Lytechinus pictus: one gene and its partner. The protein of the gene in region 1 interacts with the protein of each later gene in a pairwise test. Links are inferred from orthologs where the notes say so. Each region holds a gene or a part of one and is shown on either strand. Other genes may lie near its edges.

Region 1 (11,070 bases):
GAGCAAATGACTGTACCATTGATTTCACATAATGATAAACATAATCACTGTAAAAGACATCCCAATGAACGATTGCAAGGTGTGTAAACTACAGTACGTCAAGGCCAAGAGGAAACTATCTAATACCGTTTTCAGTGACTCATGATTTTTTTGGTCCGCACCAGGCCCGTGCTAAAAAATAGTCTGCACCATTCAATATAAATTGTGCTTGGTAACTGTAGCAGAGTCACACTACTTTTACAATCACCCATTAACAAACTCGGGCACGTGGTGCTGGTGCTAATAAAAGCAGCACCCAAATAGCCCAAGCCTGGCGCAGGCTATTTTAGCCATTCATAAAATCATAATTTTGTGAAGTAGCCACGGGACTGGTCTGGATCAGCGACTTATACTAAAAGCGGTAAATTTTGATAGAATATAATAAATTTGAGCATAATTAATTCCAGTGAGATGATTCCCTGAGAATTAAAAATCGATTGTAAGAGAGGTACAGTGTAAAATCAATTTTCATGAGACTTTATTGGTCTAAAGCTTCTTATATTTTTTTTTAACGATTAGTGAATCACCCTCTATTTTCATATCTCAATTTGGTTCATCCGAATTTGCGAGAGTATAGAGGGTTAAACATTTAACATAGTTTCATTTATTGCCTTGAAAAAAGGGTACACATTTTAGCCAGAATAGGCTCCATCTTGTAGAGTTTGTAACCCTTATCATTACTGTTATACAAGATGTAGGCTAAATCTATCAAGTCAAAATTGATAAGAATATCAAAGTCCACTAAATTACCTATGACTTTATTACAGGATGTACTGGAAACATGCAGAGATCTGAATATAATACTGTATGCTGTCAGAATCCAGAAAGAAGAAATTCAGGCATGACGTGGCCCTAATTGGTTTCTAGAAAATAATTTACTTTGTCACTTATGAGCCTGGAGAGCAATGGTAAATAATCTTATTAAACTCAAAGTTGGGATTAAATCTAAATAAGTATTCATATTTGTCTATTTCACACGGTAGTATTCATTCTCTCATGGCTAGCTGTAAGAATATGATAAGAAAATCTCCAAGTCTTACCCTAATTTCTCCAGCTCTCTTGAAACGTCTGTTAGTCACCAAGCTCATGTACTCGGACTTCACTATTGACTTCAGATCTGTGAAGGTGTTCTTTTCACTCTTTTCACTTGCACTCCGTTCACTCTTGGCCGGGCTGGAGGTTGCTGACCTTGTAGCGTTTGATGCCATGATGACATTTGACCTATGACCTGTCACCAAAAATGAAGACACATGAATTGAAATGAAAGAAAATTTTGAAAAGTACAAATAGTTTTACAGGAAATGGTATGCGGTGTAGGATTTTATCTTCAAATTTGCCACTGACATTAACAAAATATTTTTGAACCAACTAATGAGCAAATGCGTTAATTTGCCATCGGCAATCATTTAGTGCTGCAACACTCGACTGTCACTGCCTGACCACAACAGTTCTAGAAATCAATTGCAATCTTGAAGGGTGTCTCGTGGCACCTGGTATTAATCCTTATTATTTGCCTGAAATTTTGCCATGTCTGGTTAAAATATCCTGCAAAAGAATATGGAGTTTAGCCCAGTCCGACTTGCACACTTGTCCATATGGTCTAAATATTAGCCCCCATTTAATTGGGCAACGGTTCGAGATGCCCCTGCTTAGAAATCAATGTCTCAAGCTGCTGAGGCAAGTTAGAAATAATCTGTATCAAAATGAAGTCTATATAAAAATTTGCTGGCAATCATTTCATTTGGAAAGTGGGGGTGATAATTGTTATCAAAATAAGATGGGGTGATGGTGCCTCAACATAGATCTCAATGTACAAAGAGGCTTTGAGAACGCAGCCAAGTCAATGCACTTTTGTGTATGATCGGCTGTTTACTGTTTTATGCTTCGAATGGACAACTTACATTTTACTAGAGTCTACTCATTACCTCACCTTTCTGAACTTACTGAGGGATATTGTGTCCCTTTTTCCTCCTCTTTAGTTTTGAGTGCTAAATATAAAATATTCTTTTAATGATATTTACGGGGGCCCGATTTCACTTTGGGTATAGGAATTTTTCGCATAAAGAGAGTGGGCGATATTCATATCGAAGACACTACGAGGGAAAGACTAGGCACTTAAACTATTTTACATGCAAATCGATGCAAAGCGTTACGCAAAGTGTCCAGTCTTTTCATTGTACAGACTTTGGTATACCATTTGTTCAAATGAACAAAGGCTTGTACTGCTGGTTTCGTTCAAGGCTCATATAATTTTTCTATTTTTTCTTCAATTTGCTGTTGCTATAAATGACTTTCAAAGTAGTGCTATCATCAGCAATAATAATCTACAAGTACATGTACATTTTCGAAGGGATTTATTGCGTGCATGTGATACATGAACTTACCCTCTGATCTATTAAACTGCACACACGAGACCCAGGTTACTGCTCAAAAAATTTATTCCTAGGGTTACATCCAGGGGTAAAAACTAAAATCCACGATTTTGACTTTCAAAGATTCTTATGACCCTCACTAATTTTGGACTCCTTAACTTAAGATCGATGACCAAAAAAAAAATCTCAAAAGGGGGCAGTGATTTTCGCAGGAAATGTTGCCGCCGATCACTCTAGGCGACACCCCAATACTTACCCGTGTTAATAAACTGGGACTCCACTCACGCACATTTGGGCCGCCCTAGCTTGGAACTAAGCATCAATATCAATTTAAAATATATATCTACAAGTTATGTATAACCTATTTACTACTTTGATAATGTTTAATCGGTACTCACCAGTTCTTTTGATGTATTTTCTCAAGAATTCCCACGGATTTGTCCCAAATCTTGCGACAAACCACGTTGCGGTAGACAGCTGTACATTCTTTTTTATTTATAAATAGAGCGCCCCTTACAATAGTTGTTAAGAACGCGGCCAAATTGTTAGGTTTTTTGCACTGTGTCCAAGGCGTTTTTATTTTTTAATAAATATTTTGCTAAATAGCGATTTTTACGTCAAATATTAAATTCATATCACAAAATATTTTTAATTGTAGAAATATATATAATATCATGCAATTATTTATTCTATATATATTTTATAATAAAATTTATAATTGTTGCGGTCTTTAAAAAAGGATAGTCGATCGATCAGGTGATCAGTAGTCATCTTCTTCTTCTTCTTCTTCTTTCCTTGGTTAACTGGTTGCCAACCAAGGAAAGAAGAAGAAGAAGAAGAAGATGACTACTCGTATCACGTGATCTGAAAATCAGCTTCGTACCGCTTTGATCGCACTCGACGGGACCGGACTGACTGCCAAGAAAAGATCGAAAAAGGACCTAAATGTAAGTTTCCCTTTATTTTATAACATTTAAAGTATGAGTAGGATTATAGTTAATGGGTAATTTTTTAATAAATGCTAAACAAATGAGGACAAAGCTTGCATTTTTCGAGTAATAATCACTAATATCATAAAAATACTTGGGTGCAGGACTTCTAACCTGTTTTTAAAGCATTGTCGCCTATGAGGTCCATACATGTTAATGTTTGGACCTCACTGGTACTAGGAGTGGCCGCCGATATCGCACATGTTCAATCTATCGGGAAAAAAAATCTGCAATGGCTGCCGCATGGTTTCCCCACGGTGGGAAATTTGACACCCAGCACCCTTCCAAATATGGCACTTTCCCAAATATCGGGCATCTCGGCTGATTAATTTAAATTGGAAATGCGTGCCATTAATTATGTACTTACACGCGTGCGCTCGCTTTTTTTAACGAAGTCGCGCTGCAAACAGTCACTAATATAGTAAGCTCATCATTTTACTCTGCTTTTACTGCAACTCAAGTCTCTCAAGGTTTGAAATTCCAGACTCAGATGCAGGTGAATGAACTGATGAATTCAAGACAGCAGCTCTCTCTCTCTCTCTCTTGTGTTCTTCCTCCGCTAAGGTCGGAGCACACACAACACAAAAACATAGCAGTGGGACTGAAATATTAAAATCTGAATTGTGAATATGTAGCGCTTCTTATAATTATCAAGATTATTGCAGAGCAAATAATACAGAATCTATATAACCTGACCACGCAAGGTTCATGAGAACTCAATATCTAGACCTACATGTATCCTCTACTCACCAAACGTCAAGTATAGATTGAATTTCCACAAAAGAAAACTCAGAATCAGATCAACGCGGGATCTCGGATGCTGCTGCAAGCAATCAACAAGAGATGGCGCTAGAGCACAATGCAATGGACATGGAGGAGGTGGGCTTGGACTGTAGGCCTACTGTGCATGTCTGGAGGATGTATTTGCCCACCCAATGGTTCATTACATGCCAATCAAGCTTCCTCTTGCCAAGAAATCCAAAGCACTTATTGCTTGATTGTAGAATCCGTAATCGTCATCATATGGGTTAACTATTTGTATGAAGTCTGTAGGCACAATCTTCTGATTCCTGAATCATTTTTGTGGATTCGCTCAGATGTGGAGGAGGCCCACCCCCATTTTTGGGGTGTTCCTCCGGGTGTTCCTCCTCCACTCACAATATACTCCTTTTTGGCGGTGACACGCATCTTTTTTAATTTCTCCTTTTACGGTGCCGGAAATTGTGGCAGAGTGTACTTTTGGCCAAACTTCTGTTAAAAACTGGCTCTAATTAACTGCCTCCCATGCTGCTCCTCTTCATTTTTCTATGGTATTGTAGTGACTTGACTATATCTTTTTATATATCTACATCTATATATTCTTTCCTTGTATATATTTTCATTTATATTTCAACATTCTGTATATGTATATAAATTCTTTCTTTTATTTCCAATTTCATATATTCTCACTTGTTCACGCCATGTGTATGTACTACAATACTGTACATTCACAGAGCAAGCCAACTCATTTTCTGTCCAAATCTACTTGGCAAACACATTCTTATATTGAGAAACAACCTTTCTTTTGTTCCTAGACTTGGAGCAAACATCCTTTCATTGTTCCTTGTTTATTGCAATGAACTTGCAGGTATAACCAACATCACTACAGAGATGCTTGCATGTTTGCTTTTCTCACAGTCTGCTTCTCTCTTCTTTGTTCTTTTCAACTTTGTTTTGCCTCCCTTTTTGGCGCTTATTTCTTTGTCTCATCTTTTCTGATGTTGGTAAAAACAACTTGTTTTCTCTACCACATCATCACTCTACTCTCTGCCTTCGTCCTGTCCACTCATGCTGACCATCTCATCCAGCTGCTAGTGAGGATCGAATCAAATCTTGTGGAGGATCAACTTATACTTAATTATTTCTCTGCATTTTCCAATCTTATTCCTTACCGTCACTTCCACTCATTCGAAGTCTATATTCTCTGCATATTTAATGAGCTCATTACTTCGCGAGACATTTTGTGACATCTGTCCCTTTATCTACTGTATTTGAAATTGTGAAGTGTATATATTTCTATTCACGGATTTGTGCAATTTATCTGAGATTCTGAGCGGCTGGACCACATTCTATCTTCTGGCGAGCAAGAATTAAGGTAGGACCTAACTTTTATATTTATATTAGGAGATCGGCTTTGCCAATTTCCTAAAGTATGAATATCTGTACATTTATTACAGAATATCGCAGCATTGTCATGAATGAGTTCGAGGAGGTATAATCTCGGAGTATTGCTAGTTGCGGGGCCAGTTGGCACATCTTTCCCCCTCCATTTTGCTGCTATGTGAGTACTAGCTGCCATGGACCTGGTATACTGCACACTGTAGTACATACATGCATCAACAAGGCTGCACTGAGCATGCTAGCAGTAGCTTCAGTTCATGATTTAGCCCACCGGGCTAATTGGCTGTTAGCTGGGTGTGCTAAATATTTAGCACACCCGGCTAACTTAGCCAGGTGGGCTAATTAGCCCACGCTTTATGAAATGCTCAGTGGACTAACTTAGCCCACAGGGGATTAGTTAGCCCATGCACCGGGCTAAGTTAGCCCGGGCTAAGTTAGCCACCCTTTGAGAATTCGGGCCTAAAAGTCGTGTGTTATGGACGCCAGGGCGTTGTTCAGTGCTTCCACTTTTCAAAACGGAACTTCCTGGAATTTTACAAAATATCCTGGAATTTTCCGAATAGTCTGCAGTCTTCCATTCTCTTCTATACACACACAATGAAATATAGGGCCCAGTGCCTTAATTGAGCCAAAACCTTTGAGGGGCGAAACATGAGGTAACGGGCAAAGTTTATAAAGAGTTGCGAGCAGCAAACATTTACATTTTAATTTAAAATATCAAATTTTGTGATAGATTTTGACAAAATATTCAGAAAATAACATCATTCCCGAAAATGATAACTTCCTGGAAAACTTCCTGGAATTTCTCACTTCCTGGAATAATCCTGAAAAATAGCAAAACTTCCTGGGATTTCCTGGATTCCATCAAGAGTGGAAGCACTGGCGTCGCAGCACGCGCGTGCGACCCGCTAGTATGAAATCCACTGCCAAATGCGGTTCTTGCATGGTGCGAGGTTAGTATACTAATTAACCTCGCACTAGTGCATTTGCCAGATGTAGCCTTCATCTCTATGAATTTGGTGATTTTCCTCGCAATGTCTGAATTCCATGTTTTTTTTAAATTGCACAAAACTAGCAATGGTTTTATTTGCCAAAGAAGTAGTAGGGATACTCCATGCTGAAGATATTCATATCTCAATAAATAGAGTAAATTCACAAAGCAAAATGCTGATCAAAATCGGATAACAAGGTTATTGAATTTTAAAGATTTGCATTATTCCGGTGAAACTTTTTTATTCATGTCTTCATGAGTATTCAATGAGCAATTAACTGATGATGTCATATCCTCACTTGTTCTTTTGTATTTCATTATATGAAATTAGGTTTATTCAAAAAATGTATACCAAGAATAAAACAATTCGATTGACAACTGATTAAGTGTTTTAGTTATTTATAGCTGCAACTTAAAGGAGAACGAAACTCTTGGAGCAAGTAAGCTTTTGTGAAAGCAGAAAAATCAAAGAATAAGATAAACAAAAGTTTGAGTAAAATTGGACTAGCAATAGAAGAGTAATGAGCATTTGAATGTCGAGATCACTAATGCTATGGAGATCCTCCTATTGGCAATGCGACCAAGATCTATGATGTCACAGATGAACAACTCTCCCCTTTTGGACAGTGAAAATATACCCCAAAACATCACTTTTTGCTCATTCTAATCATATGACAAACGATTCATCAATGATATAATGTTGTGAAACCTCTGTACTTGTCCTCTCATAAGGAGAACACCTCACCTTGTGATAGACTCTATAAAAGTGAGAATATAAGTGAAATAAGTACTAAAGTAATGAGGGAGTTGTACGTGTGTGACATCACAGATCTTGGTCGCATTGCCAATGGGAGGAACTACATGGCATTAGTGATCTCAATATTCAAATGCTCATAACTTTCTTATTATTCATTCAATCTTCCTCAAACTTTCAACAATATGTTTCTTTGATTTTTCTCTTTGATATGGATTCTGCTGGTTTCAAGGGTTTCATTCTCCTTTAATTCATTATAATAGAGACACACCATTTACACATGCATGGAAAATGAAACAAAGATGATTTCATGTAATAACATATAAGAAAAAGGAAAGTGGAGATGTGACATCATCAGCCCATCTAATGAATATTCATGAATACATGCATAACTGTTTTCAAAAATATTGCAAATCTTTAAATTTGAATAACTTCGTCAGTTATTTGTTATCCGATTTTGATAAAATTTCAGCATCTTTTTATTTATTTATTTATTAGAACATATTTATTCAGGTACAAAAGATCAGCATAAAACTGTTTTTCATCGATGACCTGATGAAAACATAAACAACATAAATCATCATATCATACATGAAAATAAAGTCAAAATCTAAGTCAAAGATAACAATGCTTGGAAACATAGGTACTTAGATGATAATATGAATCAAACTGAAATATCTAAGTTATCCAAAGGGAACAGTTACTAATTATAAAACTACTAATTGTATAATTTATTCACTGATAAAAAACACTGAAATGATATTAATGAATTAATTAATAAAAATCGAGTGGAACAATGACAATCAGTTATAAATGTATGTCTAAAACTATAAAATATCAAAGGGTTAAGATCATTACAAATAATAACAACGTGACATATTGATCTATGAATTTTACTCTGTTTATTTAGATATAAATATCTAAAGCCCGGAGTATCCCTTTAATATATTAATTTAACTTAGCTTAATGGGTTCCCTATATTCAACAACAAAGAATAGAAAACGATCTTTGCTTTCAGGTAGAGGGGAGTAATCAGGCATGCAATTATTTGTTTTGTGCTAGAGCGAAAATTGGTGAGATAAGAAAGAGAGAGAGTGGGAGACAGAGAGGGGATGGGTGGAGGAGGAGTACCCCCTATTTATAAAAAAATATCCCGAAGTAGCTTTATTCAAGGTCCTCGTCCAATGGGGGATTTATTTTGAAGCCATGGGGTAATGAGGTCTTAAGTCAGAAAATAATGTTTAAGTTTTGCTGAAAAACGTGTTAAAAATAAAGAAAAGAAAGAAAAAACACCTTTTTATTAAGTGCGTCCCCCCAAAAAAGGAAACCCTGATTCCCATGTCTTTATTCTTCAAATACAAACGAATTATGATATTTAGTTACACAATCATAATTATGATTCATTTATTCCTCTTTATTTTGATACCTAACATGAGACAAACACTTCACGCATTAATGAGCAAGACGAGTTCATTTCTTTGTATTTTTTGTTAAGATCCTCTCACTGATTCCTGAAAATTAATGAGAGTGGATTCAGATTCACGTGTGAGTTTCTGCGCAAATCGTTTATGAAATGTCTCAATATTTGTATTGTTTATTATCTCTCATGCGTGAGCGATTTGCTAAACTGTTGATTTCAAATTAGAGATGAGATTCCAATCTTGCCATGAGTATCAAATTTATAGTAAAAGCATATTTAATAATTGTGAAATCTATCTCTGAAAACGTGTTTCCTTTTTTGCGGGACGCACTGTACAGGCCTACATAAGAGAGAGTGGGAATCATCTTGAAAGCGGATAAAGTAGGACACAATCTAATAACATTACAAAAAGATATTCCTCTTATTTCTTGCGGTGTCAAATTTGACTCAGAACGGCGCCAGCTGGGAGTCAATTCCTAGTCAAAGCGACTAGTTTTTAATTTGACTAGGAATCAAATGATTTTTCAACTGATGCCATGCCAGTCCCAGCCAAATTCAATAATCCGATACACGTTACACTCTTAAAAATGTTGGGCAACATACGGTCCACACAACAATTGGTTAAAACTTTATCCAATTCTGGGTAGTTTTACACCAATACTGTGTAGTTTTCACCCAAAGCACACATTATTGGTGTAAAACTACCCAGAATTGGATAAAGTTTTAACCAATTGTTGTGTGGACCGTATGTTGCCCAACATTTTTAAGAGTGTATGTTTGACTCTCATCTGCACCATTCTGAGACAAATTTGACACCGTAGAAATACGAGTGCATAAAATGGTCATGAATCATACATTTCAAGATCTGAGATTTTGCTTAATGTCATATTCTTAACTTGTTTATTAATCACTTTTGTTTTGAATTTTTTTTTTTAAATATAAATGTCATTTGTTTGTTGTTAGTCCCATGCAAGCAGCTTGCATGTGAAATGTTACTTTTTTAATATATTGGATAAAAAACAATTTCGCTGTCACTTGATTGATGTTTTCTTTACCGAAGTTAGATTACATGAATACAGTAAATGCTTTAGGGATTAAAGCCAAAAAAGGAAATCACGATTCGTGTTTCACTGTCATGCTTTCTCTACACTGGTAGCAGTCTTGATCTTCCTTGCAAAAGCACTCCGTGGTATACATTTTTTTGAACAATTTTATTGGTTAATCATTAATCTTTTTCTTCGCCATTAGGCTATTATTGTTTGCTTTGCTAAATCAAAAAAATTTCAAGAGGGCGTTGCGTGGCCCATCACTCATCACTGTCTTGTTCCTTCTATCTCTCACTCTCTCTTTGAACCCCCCCCCCCCCCTCTCTCTCTCCCTCTCTGATCTTTCGATTTTGCCTTTTTCCATCGTCGGTCATTTTGCTTCACTTCTTCTCTTTTCCTTTAAACATCTGTCCCTTTTACCATCTTTCCCCTTCTCTCCTAACTCTCTTTCACCCTTCTGTACCCCCCTCTCTCTCTTTCTGTCTCCCTCTCTCTCCCTCTATCCTACCCCAAATCTCTCACCAATCACTGCCTATCCTCTCATCAGTACAAACTCGATAGATAGCCAATCGGAATTTATGTAGTTTGATATCGGGGCATTTATCATAATGGAAACAAAAGGGAAATTTTGCTAAATAAGCCTTAGTTACATTGTCTCCAGTGATATACTCATCATTTTGTGATCTTTTCATAATCATTGTTTCAAAAAAAGTGATCAATGGTTTTCAATCAAGGCCAACAATGAATTAACAAAAAGAATGACAGTGCGGGCAAGCGCTCAAGCGATTTATTTTTCATCAAAGCCGATTTTCCCCTTATATTTTAAGTCCACTTAAGCTCACTGAGTATGAGCAAGAAGGTGCACGTAATTACTTTGGAAGTTTGGATCATCATCTTAGAATCATGATAGCTTGTTTTTTTTTTGTCTCATAAGATCAACAAAAGAGGGGTGGAACATTCTAAATCCATTGTGATCTTATTTCTGCATCTGTGTATATTGGATTTAATATTGCTTGTTTCCGATAGTTCTTCAATGATAAATATACTACATCGCCGGCGCGCCGCGGCGTAGCACTGAAGTGAAGGAAGTGAGCAAACTGCGCACCCCGTAAAATAATTAGACATGGTATGAACATTAATCCCTTCATCAAATCTGCAGAATTATTGCTTCTGAAATCATCCTGTTTTTAATGTATGAGTAAAGGCGGTGAACCTAACATCACCCTTGTTTCACAATAGAAGTGTTTATTTGTCACCAGAATTATTAACATCAAAGATAAGTCTATACGTCTTAATTGC
Region 2 (10,360 bases), on another chromosome or scaffold:
TTTTGCAAAAAAGATATGTTACATATAACATGGATGGGTTCCAAAAATTGTGGTCCACTTACATCATGCTGTACAGTTTGGATATAATTATTAGACCACTTTCCTACTAAGGTCCCAAATGGTATGTTCTACTGATAATTTCCCAAGCTGTGCATCAGCATACCATGAAACCTGTGTACAAACAGATAGCCCGTTTTCTGGTTTGACTTAAACTGTGATCTAACTTGTGATTTTATGTCAGACAGCCTACTAATGTGACGCCAAGTCTCCAAGTCTTCATATTGATTCAATCAATATGGACATTTCATCAGGGATAGAAAGGAAAAAGATCTATTGGTAGGCAAAATTGTATAAATCTTCAATAGCTTACTTTGAATTAGGTGGTTCATATGTGACGTTTGCCAGTTCTTGAAAATATACTGTACCATGCATCCTTCAGTTTCCAAGTCTATCCAGGGTTGAAGACCTCCCCCCCCCCACAATTTTTTCAAACTCTTCCCCCACACCATCTCAAATTCACCCCCCCCCCCTGTGAATCAATCTCATTCTGACTTACTACCTAGAACATGTAGCCTTACTTCTATCACCGCCCCCAACCTCCTCTTCTTCCCATCCCCATCCCGCCGCCTCCCATCCCCCCTCCTCCTCCCCGTTCTCCGAGCCCGCCCCTCGGAGGCAAGGTGATGGCGATATCGATATAATCGCCGATGACGAAATTCTGCGCCGACAGGGTCACGGAATCATCGGGTCCCTTGCGTCCTGAGCAGGTCATCCCGATCTCCCTCATCTGGTAGGCTTGTTGGCGCCTCTGGTGCGGGTGGACGATGGCGAAGTCAAAGTACGTCCCCCTCCGCCGTGCATCGGGGTTGACTTCCTTCACTAGGCTAGATAGCTCTTTCAAAGTGGCATCCATCCTATGAAAAAAAAAAGGATCATATAGTGTAAGTGGGATACAAGAAAAACAAGTGGAATGCCTCTGGCCGTCTCACCTGCATCACGCGATTCAATATAGCAGCAGTGCTGATTTTGAAAACTACTATAACTCGCACAAGATGTTCAGTGATACTTGGTTACTCTTATTTCCACGTTTTATGAACTAGACCAATACACTTAGGCTGCGTTTATGCGACCTCAAGCCAGAATCATGATTTGAATCATGATTTGAATCATGATTCAAAACACAAACATGAATCACGATATCACAGAATCAGCGTTTAGACGACCGTCATTCCAATGCTGTTTCTCCTCAGATTCGGGCCAATCCAGTGCGCATCACTAGTGCGCAGTTTGACAGAGGAAGTTTTTCGCACGTGTTTCGGCTCTCGAAAAAATCTTTTGCTTCCAGAATTCAACCTAATTTTGTTTACTTCTATCATATAGGGTCCATATGCTTCTATTCATCTTGTTAGTTAATCCAAAATGGTGTTCGGAAGTGAATTTCAGCGTAGATCCAATTTAATATTGACACTCTATACTCATCATTGTCTCCAGTTAATTAATTTACTAGAACTTGAAGTTGAAGACATGACCAAAAAATGAAAAGTAGTGGACGATGCGAAGACCAACACAGAACTTGAACATGACAAGAAATGCATGCAGAGTAATCATGTACATACTATGAGCATAAGCTTGGCAAGAGTCAAACCGAAAGCCGTAGCCCGACGACACAGTGAGGTCATATAATCATGATTCAAATCACGATATCGTTTATTCGAACATTTTCGTACGTGATTCTGCAGAAACGTCTTTCCAAACGCCCCTTTTTTCGTGTTTCATGTTTGTGATTCTAATCATGATTATATTCAATTTCGACTAAACGCAATCGTGATTCTGCAGAATCATGATTTGAATCATGATTCAGATCATGATTCTAGGGTGAAAAAGTGGCGGATAAACGCACCCTTATAGAGATATGATGGCAATTCAACAAATACCCCCAACGTGGCCAAAGTTCTTTGACCTTACATGACCTTTGACCTTGATCATGTGACCTGAAACTCGCACAGGATGTTCAGTGATACTTGATTACTATTATGTCCAAGTTTTATGAACTAGACCAACACACTTTCAAATTTATGGCTGTAATTCAACAAATACCCCAATTTGGCCAAAGTTCATTGACCCTAAATGACCTTTGACCTTGATCATGTGACCTGAAACTTGCACAGGATGTTCAGTAATACTTGATTACTATTATGTCCAAGTTTCATGAATCAGATCCATAAACTTTAAAAGTTATGATGGTAATTCAACAGATACCCCCAATTTGGCCAAAGTTCATTGACCCTAAATGACCTTTGACCTTGGTCATGTGATGTGAAACTCAAGCAGGATGTTCAGTGATACTTGATTAACCTTATGTATAAGTTTCATGAACTAGGTCCATATATTTTCTAAGTTATGATGACATTTCAAAAACTTAACCTTAGGTTAAGATTTTGATGTTGATTCCCCCAACATGGTCTAAGTTCATTGACCCTAAATGACCTTTGACCTTGGTCATGTGACATGAAACTCAGGCAGGATGTTCAGTAATACTTGATTAACCTTATGGCCAAGTTTCATGAACTAGGTCCATATACTTTCTAAGTTATGCTGTCATTTCAAAAACTTAACCTCAGGTTAAGATTTGGTGTTGACGCCGCCGCCGTCGCCGTCGGAAAAGCGGCGCCTATAGTCTCACTCTGCTATGCAGGTGAGACAAAAAACAGTAAAAGGCAAATCTTGGCAAAAGTACTCCTCAGACAATAAAAATAAGTATAAATGGTACGCGGACAAACTTTTGTGCACATGATTCCGGTGCAAAAGCACAGGACAACAATTCCCATTACCCCAATCAAACTAAGCATGATACCAGGAAAAACATTCTGTAATAGTCGCAACGAAAAAGGTGGTAGGAGAACACAACTCAAAAATGTTTGACATTCATTGGGGATATATTGGTGACACATTTGCTGTTGCGACATTTGCTCCGGATTTAATATCTCAAGGGGCATGGGTTAGAGTTTGGATTGAGTTTTTGGTTCAGAATGATGTAAATATAAGGATTAGGGTTTATTTAGTTGTTTAATTTTGATGTTTGGCTTAACGGGCAGGTTTTACTCGGATGACCGCATGTCGAAAAGCTTCAGCATGTTCCTTTTATGCTACTTTTCTATTTCCATTTATTTTTTACAGACCATAAAGCAGCATTGTTGATTATAAAATGCCTTGATCAAAGGCATATACATGTAGGTACCACGCACTTTTAAGGTGCTTCAGAGACCACTCGACCACCAAACCTCTACAACCAACTTACCATGTGTAGATCTGGAGTTCGTTGGCTGGGACTGTTCCTCGAGAAAACTCGTGTTCCTGATGGTGACGATTGTTATTACAGAACACCCTCAGAAGAAGTGGACAGGTCTAGGAAAAGGAGGAGATAAAAGAATACACCAAGAATGAAGAGTGAGGCTATTACTTTAACGGGTGTATGGAATGTTTATTTATCCAATGAGGCAATGACGTATTTTATACCTTTACACCGGATCTACTGGAAAAATACAGTTGTTTCTGCAGACAAGTTTCCAGGTCAATCTTGTATGTTGTCTTCCTATCTAGGGTATTAAATTTCTCATTCTGAGTCTGTGTGCTGTAACATGCAGTGAAAAAGGTCACTGTTCCCATGGGTGGACATAATGCAACGAAGACCAAAACTTGTCTAGCTTCGTCTTGAAGCTATTGACCGATGATGCTGTCATTTGAGTTGCACCATAGCTAAATCCCTGAGTATACAAGTAGCTCATTACGCAAGTGAGCATAGACTGAATCCAAAGCCAGTCTAACCTCCGACTTCAGATGTTCAGCAATACAATTATCAAATTTACATGATTTATCAAAACTTTATGAACTTTTGAAATGTATCAAAATAATTCATTACTGTGATTCATTATCCCCAAGAGCCTGACCCTTTCATTTTCTCACATCACCCTCAGTCACTCACAGTACCGGTAGATCCATTTGCCTGTCAAGATCGAGCTGAAAATAATACAGCCATTCCTGATCACGATGGGCCTCACTCATTCAATGATCAAGTTTATGATAATAGTTATAATAAAGCTTTTAGACTCTATACAGCGCTTTATCAATCTACGACTACTCAAAGTGATTCACAATGATATCCTTGTTCTCTGTTAGTACTCTCTGTGTGGTGAAATAAAGTTGGCAATGTTTGGCTTATTTTCTCTTGTTCTTGGGGACAAATGCTATATTTTCTGATACTATTCATCATACAACTTGGCTCTCAAAGGTCAAGTCGCAACTCAGACCCTCACGCATGCGGATGCGATGTTTTCAAATCAGCAGCGAATTATTTATAAGAGTGAGGAACTCGATGCTGGCTCTAAATAACCAATTTTGCGGCTAACAGGAGGATGGATATGGAGTGAAATTAGGATGAAAAGTAAGAAATTTAGCTTCTTATTATTTTTAAGCTCATTTCGGTGTAGGATTTTTACAAATAAACATGCATTTTCTCCCACCTTTGTCACTCAAAGTATCAGAGCGAGTTCACCACATTGAGGTTCAGGTAGATGGAGCGTAGTGTAGCGGTAGTGAAGTGGAGTGGAGCCTGCACGAACCTCACTTGAGGTAGCTGCAACCGATTATTATTTGTGCCCTTTTTATTTGGGGAATCGGAAACATGCTGAAAAAAATTCCCTGAAATTCGGCCAGTGGCAGTGCGAAACTGCTTTAGCGCCGATCAATCGCAATTAATGCGAAACAACACCCCAAGCGGAAGCCCAATGCAGCGCACTCATCCAACGTCAACGACCAACCCGTGTTTGAGACTAGTCTAACGTTAACGTTACTCGTTAGGAAGTAGGAGTCGAGTATGGCAATGAGTCCAAACTTCGCGGACGGTCATTATCTAAAAAAATAGCCAATATCCTTTAAGGAGAATGAAACCCTTGAAACAAGCTGAATCCATATCAAAGAGAAAAATCAAAGAAACATATTGTTGAAAGTTTGAGGAAGATTGAATGAATAGTAAGAAAGTTATGAGCATTTGAATAATGAGATCACTAATGCCATGTAGATCCTCCTATTGGCAATGCGACCAAGATCTGTGATGTCACACACGTACAACTCCCTCATTACTTTAGTACTTATTTCACTTATATTCTCACTTTTATAGAGTCTATCACAAGGTGAGGTGTTCTCTTTATGAGAGGACAAGTACAGAGGTTTCACAACATTATATCATTGATGAATCGTTTGTCATATGATTAGAATGAGCAAAAATAGATGTTTTGGGGTATATTTTCAGTGTCCAAAAGGGGAGAGTTGTTCATCTGTGACATCATAGATCTTGGTCGCATTTAATTGCCAATGGGAGGATCTCCATAGCATTAGTGATCTCGACATTCAAATGCTCATAACTCTTCTATTGCTAGTCCTATTTTACTCAAACTTTTGTTGATCTTATTCTTTGATTTTTCTGCTTTCACAAAAGCTAACTTGCTCCAAGAGTTTCATTCTCCTTTAAAATCTGACATCATCAACGTGAAAAGCGACCTAAAAAAATTACCTTTTGGTGTAAGTTCCTTCAGGATGAGGTCAGTATTCATGAAAATATTGACAAAAGATCAGCAAATTTGTCACCGTTAACGCCCAGTTCCGAAGAAATCTGATATCCTCAACAAGCATCACAATATCATCATTTTGCAAGCAGATATCATCAAAAATGTGAGTTCAATGTGGTACTGACTAATTACTTAGCATTTTGTCGTCAATCTGATATATAAATATCTCTCCTTTTGAGCTTGAGTTTTTTTAAATCTCCTCAAAAACTTTGGTCCGCGAAGTTAGGTCATACTTTTTCAGAACGGTTTTCCAGCACAGCGCGCATTCGTCGATCGGAATAGAATTTTGAGATCGCAATACCGGCGAAACCGCCTGGCCTTGTCCTTTTTAGTTTGAGTTTGACCTATTTCACATTTTTGTCAATGATTTTATAGTTTACGATCTTGCCGTCAATGTGGTAATTATTATTTATTAAATTGGTTTTGCATAAATTGTGAATATTTTGTGAACAAATTTAAGCCTGAAGAATATGTTTGAAAGGTCCGCGAAGCGAAGCGAAGTTTGGACACCCCATCATACACTACACATATGGCAGTGTATCCTATTGCCGGACACCTTTATTTCAGTGCTTTAAAAATGACAACTAGAGGAAATACAATCAAGAAAAATTCACACTTGCTATTCCAAATATTATGAAAATTATGAATATGATAAAATTATTTTATATTTACCAACCATTTTCTTTGCATCGCACTTGCCGCATACCCCTCCACGAAAAACAATTATTTTCGTGCGCGACAAATTACATCATGATTCCGGACGCGCGCCGGACGGGTAAAGATATCCTTGATTATAATGATGTAAGAACAAATTTTTGTGATTTTTTTCTTCTTATATCATATCATGAGCAAATTCTAAGTATTATTTGCTTTTTTTTTATATCGAATCTGAGCAGATGTTGGTAATAAATTCGTGTTTGATAACTTATTTTATTTTTTCTTGTTAGCTGCATGTTCCATGGCACTTTCCAATAATAATATGCTCGCGTTCATAATGTGACGCTCATCAAGTTCTATCGATGCGCTGCCGATCGACGGCTCTACTCACGGTAAACCTCGCGCACGGGTACCTTGAGAACTAGCCGTCGACGATCACCCACAATACACCACACCTCATCATTCGATCGAAGGAGTGGACGAGATTGAAATTCGGCAAATCAGGCCCATATTTCCGTTAGAAAATATATCAATTGTTAATACAAAACTATGTTATATGATATTTTAAGCATTTTCTGTCATTTTTAGAGATAATTAGGTAAAAGTTGGATTTTTCGCCTTGTTTTTGCAATCTTGTTCTATGTATTGCTCTGTGAAATTGAATTGCGGAAGTCTTACGGTACGAATTTGTTTTAGAACGCAGTAATATGCACTCTAGGCGACACCCCAATACTTACCCGTGCTAATAAACTGGGACTCCACTCACGCGCATTTGGGCCGCCCTAGCTTAGAACTAAGCAATGTTATCTAGAAATTGTTAAACTCTAGTCATGAAATATGTTCTATTAAATAAATTGATGTTTAATCGGTACTCACCGGTTCTTTTGTTGCATTTTCAGACCATTTCTCACAATTCTTCGTAAATATTTGCGGCAAATTTTGTCGCCATAGACAGCTATACATCCATCTTTATTAATAAATGGAGCGCCCTTTACGATAGTTGTTAATGCCGCGGAGAAATCATTGCATTTTGGCATGTGTTCAAGGCGTTCTTTCTGTTTTATTTTTTATATTGAAGATTGTGCATTTGTTGAATAGCGCCGTCTACGTCAGGTATGAGATCGAGTGTATAAATACACTCTTCCAAAATAATTATGATTCCGACCTGGCGCTGTTTAACTTCAATCTCTTTCACCTAAATTAGCGATGAATGCTAGCATTATAAAATATATATTATTAACGTCTGACGAAAAGAATAACCAACCGATCAGCTGACGAGAACGCGAATCACGTGATCTTCATATCAGCTTCGATCGCGAGTCAGAAGTGAAGAGCAACTGCCCAGAAAATCAGGAAAAAGCCATGAAAATGTAAGTTCCCCTTCATTTCTTTCATTTTTTTGTTGTTGCTAACGATGCATTTACACTATAAAATTATAATTTAAATAAGAGAAAGGAATATAGCTTGCACTCCTAGTACCAATGAGGTCCAAACATTAACATGTATGGACCTCATAGGCGACATTACCCAAATTATGGGTTGGACAATGCTGTTCTGATTTCCACCCCAAGACTTTGGTAAATGTACACCTTAATACAAGTTAGAGTTATCCGATATACCTTTCATTCGGACGGCTAACCTTTATTTAGTTGTAAAAATAGTTGAAATTAAAATCGATTATTGTTAAACTTACATTTCAGGCCCTTTTTGTTGATTTTGGGTGAGCGTTCCACACAGCTGCGACGAGTGATCATCTCCGAAGTGATACGCGTACTGGTCAGCTGATCGGTCAGGTGATCGGTTGGTTATCTTTTTGTCAGACGTTCATAATTTATGTTAAGCGTATCAATCTTCAGTATCTTGATTTCAAAGCATCAGTATTGCAGAGAAAAGTCATTATTGATTGGAATCAGTGGCGGGGGGGGGGGGGGTTGGGGTGAGCATTTCTGCCCGTTCCCCCTTTTGAGATTTATAGTAAACATTTTGGAATTAAATATTTTGTTAATACTAGTTATGTGCCCCCCCCCCTCCCTTATGAGAATCACAGCATTATTTGTAATGGGGATATTTCGTTCATATTCTTTTCTCTTTTTTGCCTTTTTTTTGCTTGTCAAATTTTACTGGGAACAAATTAACAATATGACTTTCTATACATCACTTTTAGGGACAAACTTTTTATGGGGGTGGGGGCTTGCCAAATATAACGGTGGAAAAAGTGACCTTTTTTTTTAGTGACAACTTTATTAAAAAATTGTCAAATTTTACGCGAGACAAAATGACCTTCGATCATTGCTATAGTTAAAACCTTTTTTTATTTTATTTTTTTTGGGGGGTTGCCAAATATCACGTGGACAAAATGACTTTCCCTTTTCTTATTTTTGTGGGGGGGGGGGGCTTGCCGAATATTACGCGGACAAAATGACTTTCATTTTGAGTGACCATTTTTTTTTTAACTTGTCAAACTTTACGCGAGACAATATAATGACCGTTTTTTTTTTTTTAGTAAGAACCTTTTTTGGGAGTTGTCAAATTTTACTTGAGAAAATTCACCCCGCCCCCCCCCCTACTTAATTTGGAAAATCTTGGATCCGCCTCTATATAGTTTGAATCATAATGAAGATTAAGATCATGCGTATATATAGCTTACATCCACGTCAGAGGCGTAAACCGCCGGGGGCATGCAGGCTGGCCCTTGATCCCCGGTCCAGTGGATTTCACCAAAAAAAAAACGCGATAAGAGAAAAGGAATGAAGGAAGGAAAAGAAAGAAAGAAAGAAAGACAGAAAGAGAAAGGGAAGAGAAATAAAAGGCCATAAAAAAGCAGAAGGAAAGAAAAATGCATGCGAGAATAATTCCGAATGTTATGTCAAAATCTATTGCAAAATTGATATTTGTAATATAAGTGACAAAGGTTTTGCTCGCTCGCCTCTTCATCTGGTAGGCGCGTAGCTAGGGGCGGTGCCCCCCGAAAAGGTCCCTCCCCCCCAAAAAAATAAGGAGGGAATAGAGAAAATAAAAAGCGAAATGAGAAAAGGGGGATGTATATAACTTAGTTTATAATTGTTTTTCCTTTTTTGGGGGGGAAGGGGTCAAAACATTAACGTTATGTTTTTCTATAAATAGGTCTAATTGCTAAATATCCAGAGTTATCGAGACCCACCTGCTGATATTGCACTGGGGGTACACGATGGAAGGGTTAGGCCTAGGGGCCCCCGAAAGTTCTACAACCAAGATAAAAAAGAAATGAAGGGAATTAATGAAAAGAAAAGGAAAAGTGTAAGTTAAGATATCTATCTCAAATTTAGATTTGCACGAAAAGTTTTTTTCTCGCTTACTTCACTCGCTTGGAACATATAAAGCAACTTTATTCCCACGCGCCATGTATGCCTACATTGGCCCTCTTTCTTTCTTTTATTTTATTTTTTTTTTACTCATCACGCTACCGTACTGCCACACACGGGTTTGCCCTAATGATCGTGGACAATCATAAAAAATATCATTTTCATACCATGTGACTGGGGAATTTTTGGCTCCACCCCCCCCCCTCTCGATCCCTGTATCGATTTTGACTTGATAGGGGCCTATACCTGATGGAATTAGCTTCATTCAATATAAAATCATAACGGATAGAACGCCTTGAATACAGGCCAAACAGCCTAACGACATTGCCGTGTCACGTGACAACCAGTATTAAACGAGAATGTGCACAACCCTATGGCGACAAAATTTGCCGCAAAAGTTGAGCAAGTTCTGGACAAAAAGGCTAGTTCAATATAAGCTTGTAACCGATTTTGCAATCGGCAACCGATTCCATTCGATTTCACCACAATCGGCAATCACTTGCCGATCTTCGATCATGCCCCTTGAAGGAAAAAATCGGCGTAGATCTGGTTACAGTGCGTGATCGCTCAGAACATATTTCAAGATTGTTTTTGAGGTGCTAGCTATTTAGAGGTCGCATTATTCAGGGAGAAAGACGCGGTATTATCTATGGCGATGTTTAAGAGGATAGATATCTTCTCTTCCAACTCATGGTGATAGCGGATGCCGCCGTGAACTTTGAAAGATCGTATTACCGA

What was found.
Region 2: the proteins of histone-lysine N-methyltransferase EZH2-like (region 1) and histone deacetylase complex subunit SAP18-like interact in binary tests that used the Drosophila melanogaster proteins (3 or more experiments, as listed by UniProt). The link is inferred for Lytechinus pictus from reciprocal best matches to the Drosophila melanogaster genes E(z) and Bin1.

Annotation. Positions count from the first base shown.
Region 1 is NC_087245.1:20,675,736-20,686,805, reverse strand, and holds the start of histone-lysine N-methyltransferase EZH2-like, read right to left. Parts: upstream 4,245-11,070; 5' UTR 4,151-4,244; intron 1,268-4,150; 5' UTR 1,248-1,267; coding exon 1,080-1,247; intron 1-1,079. UniProt on the Drosophila melanogaster protein: Polycomb group (PcG) protein. Catalytic subunit of the Esc/E(z) complex, which methylates 'Lys-9' and 'Lys-27' of histone H3, leading to transcriptional repression of the affected target gene.
Region 2 is NC_087248.1:29,152,375-29,162,734, forward strand, and holds the start of histone deacetylase complex subunit SAP18-like, read right to left. Parts: upstream 4,318-10,360; coding exon 4,273-4,317; intron 3,406-4,272; coding exon 3,299-3,405; intron 915-3,298; coding exon 584-914; 3' UTR 1-583. UniProt on the Drosophila melanogaster protein: Involved in the tethering of the SIN3 complex to core histone proteins. Interacts with bicoid (bcd) to repress transcription of bicoid target genes in the anterior tip of the embryo; a process known as retraction.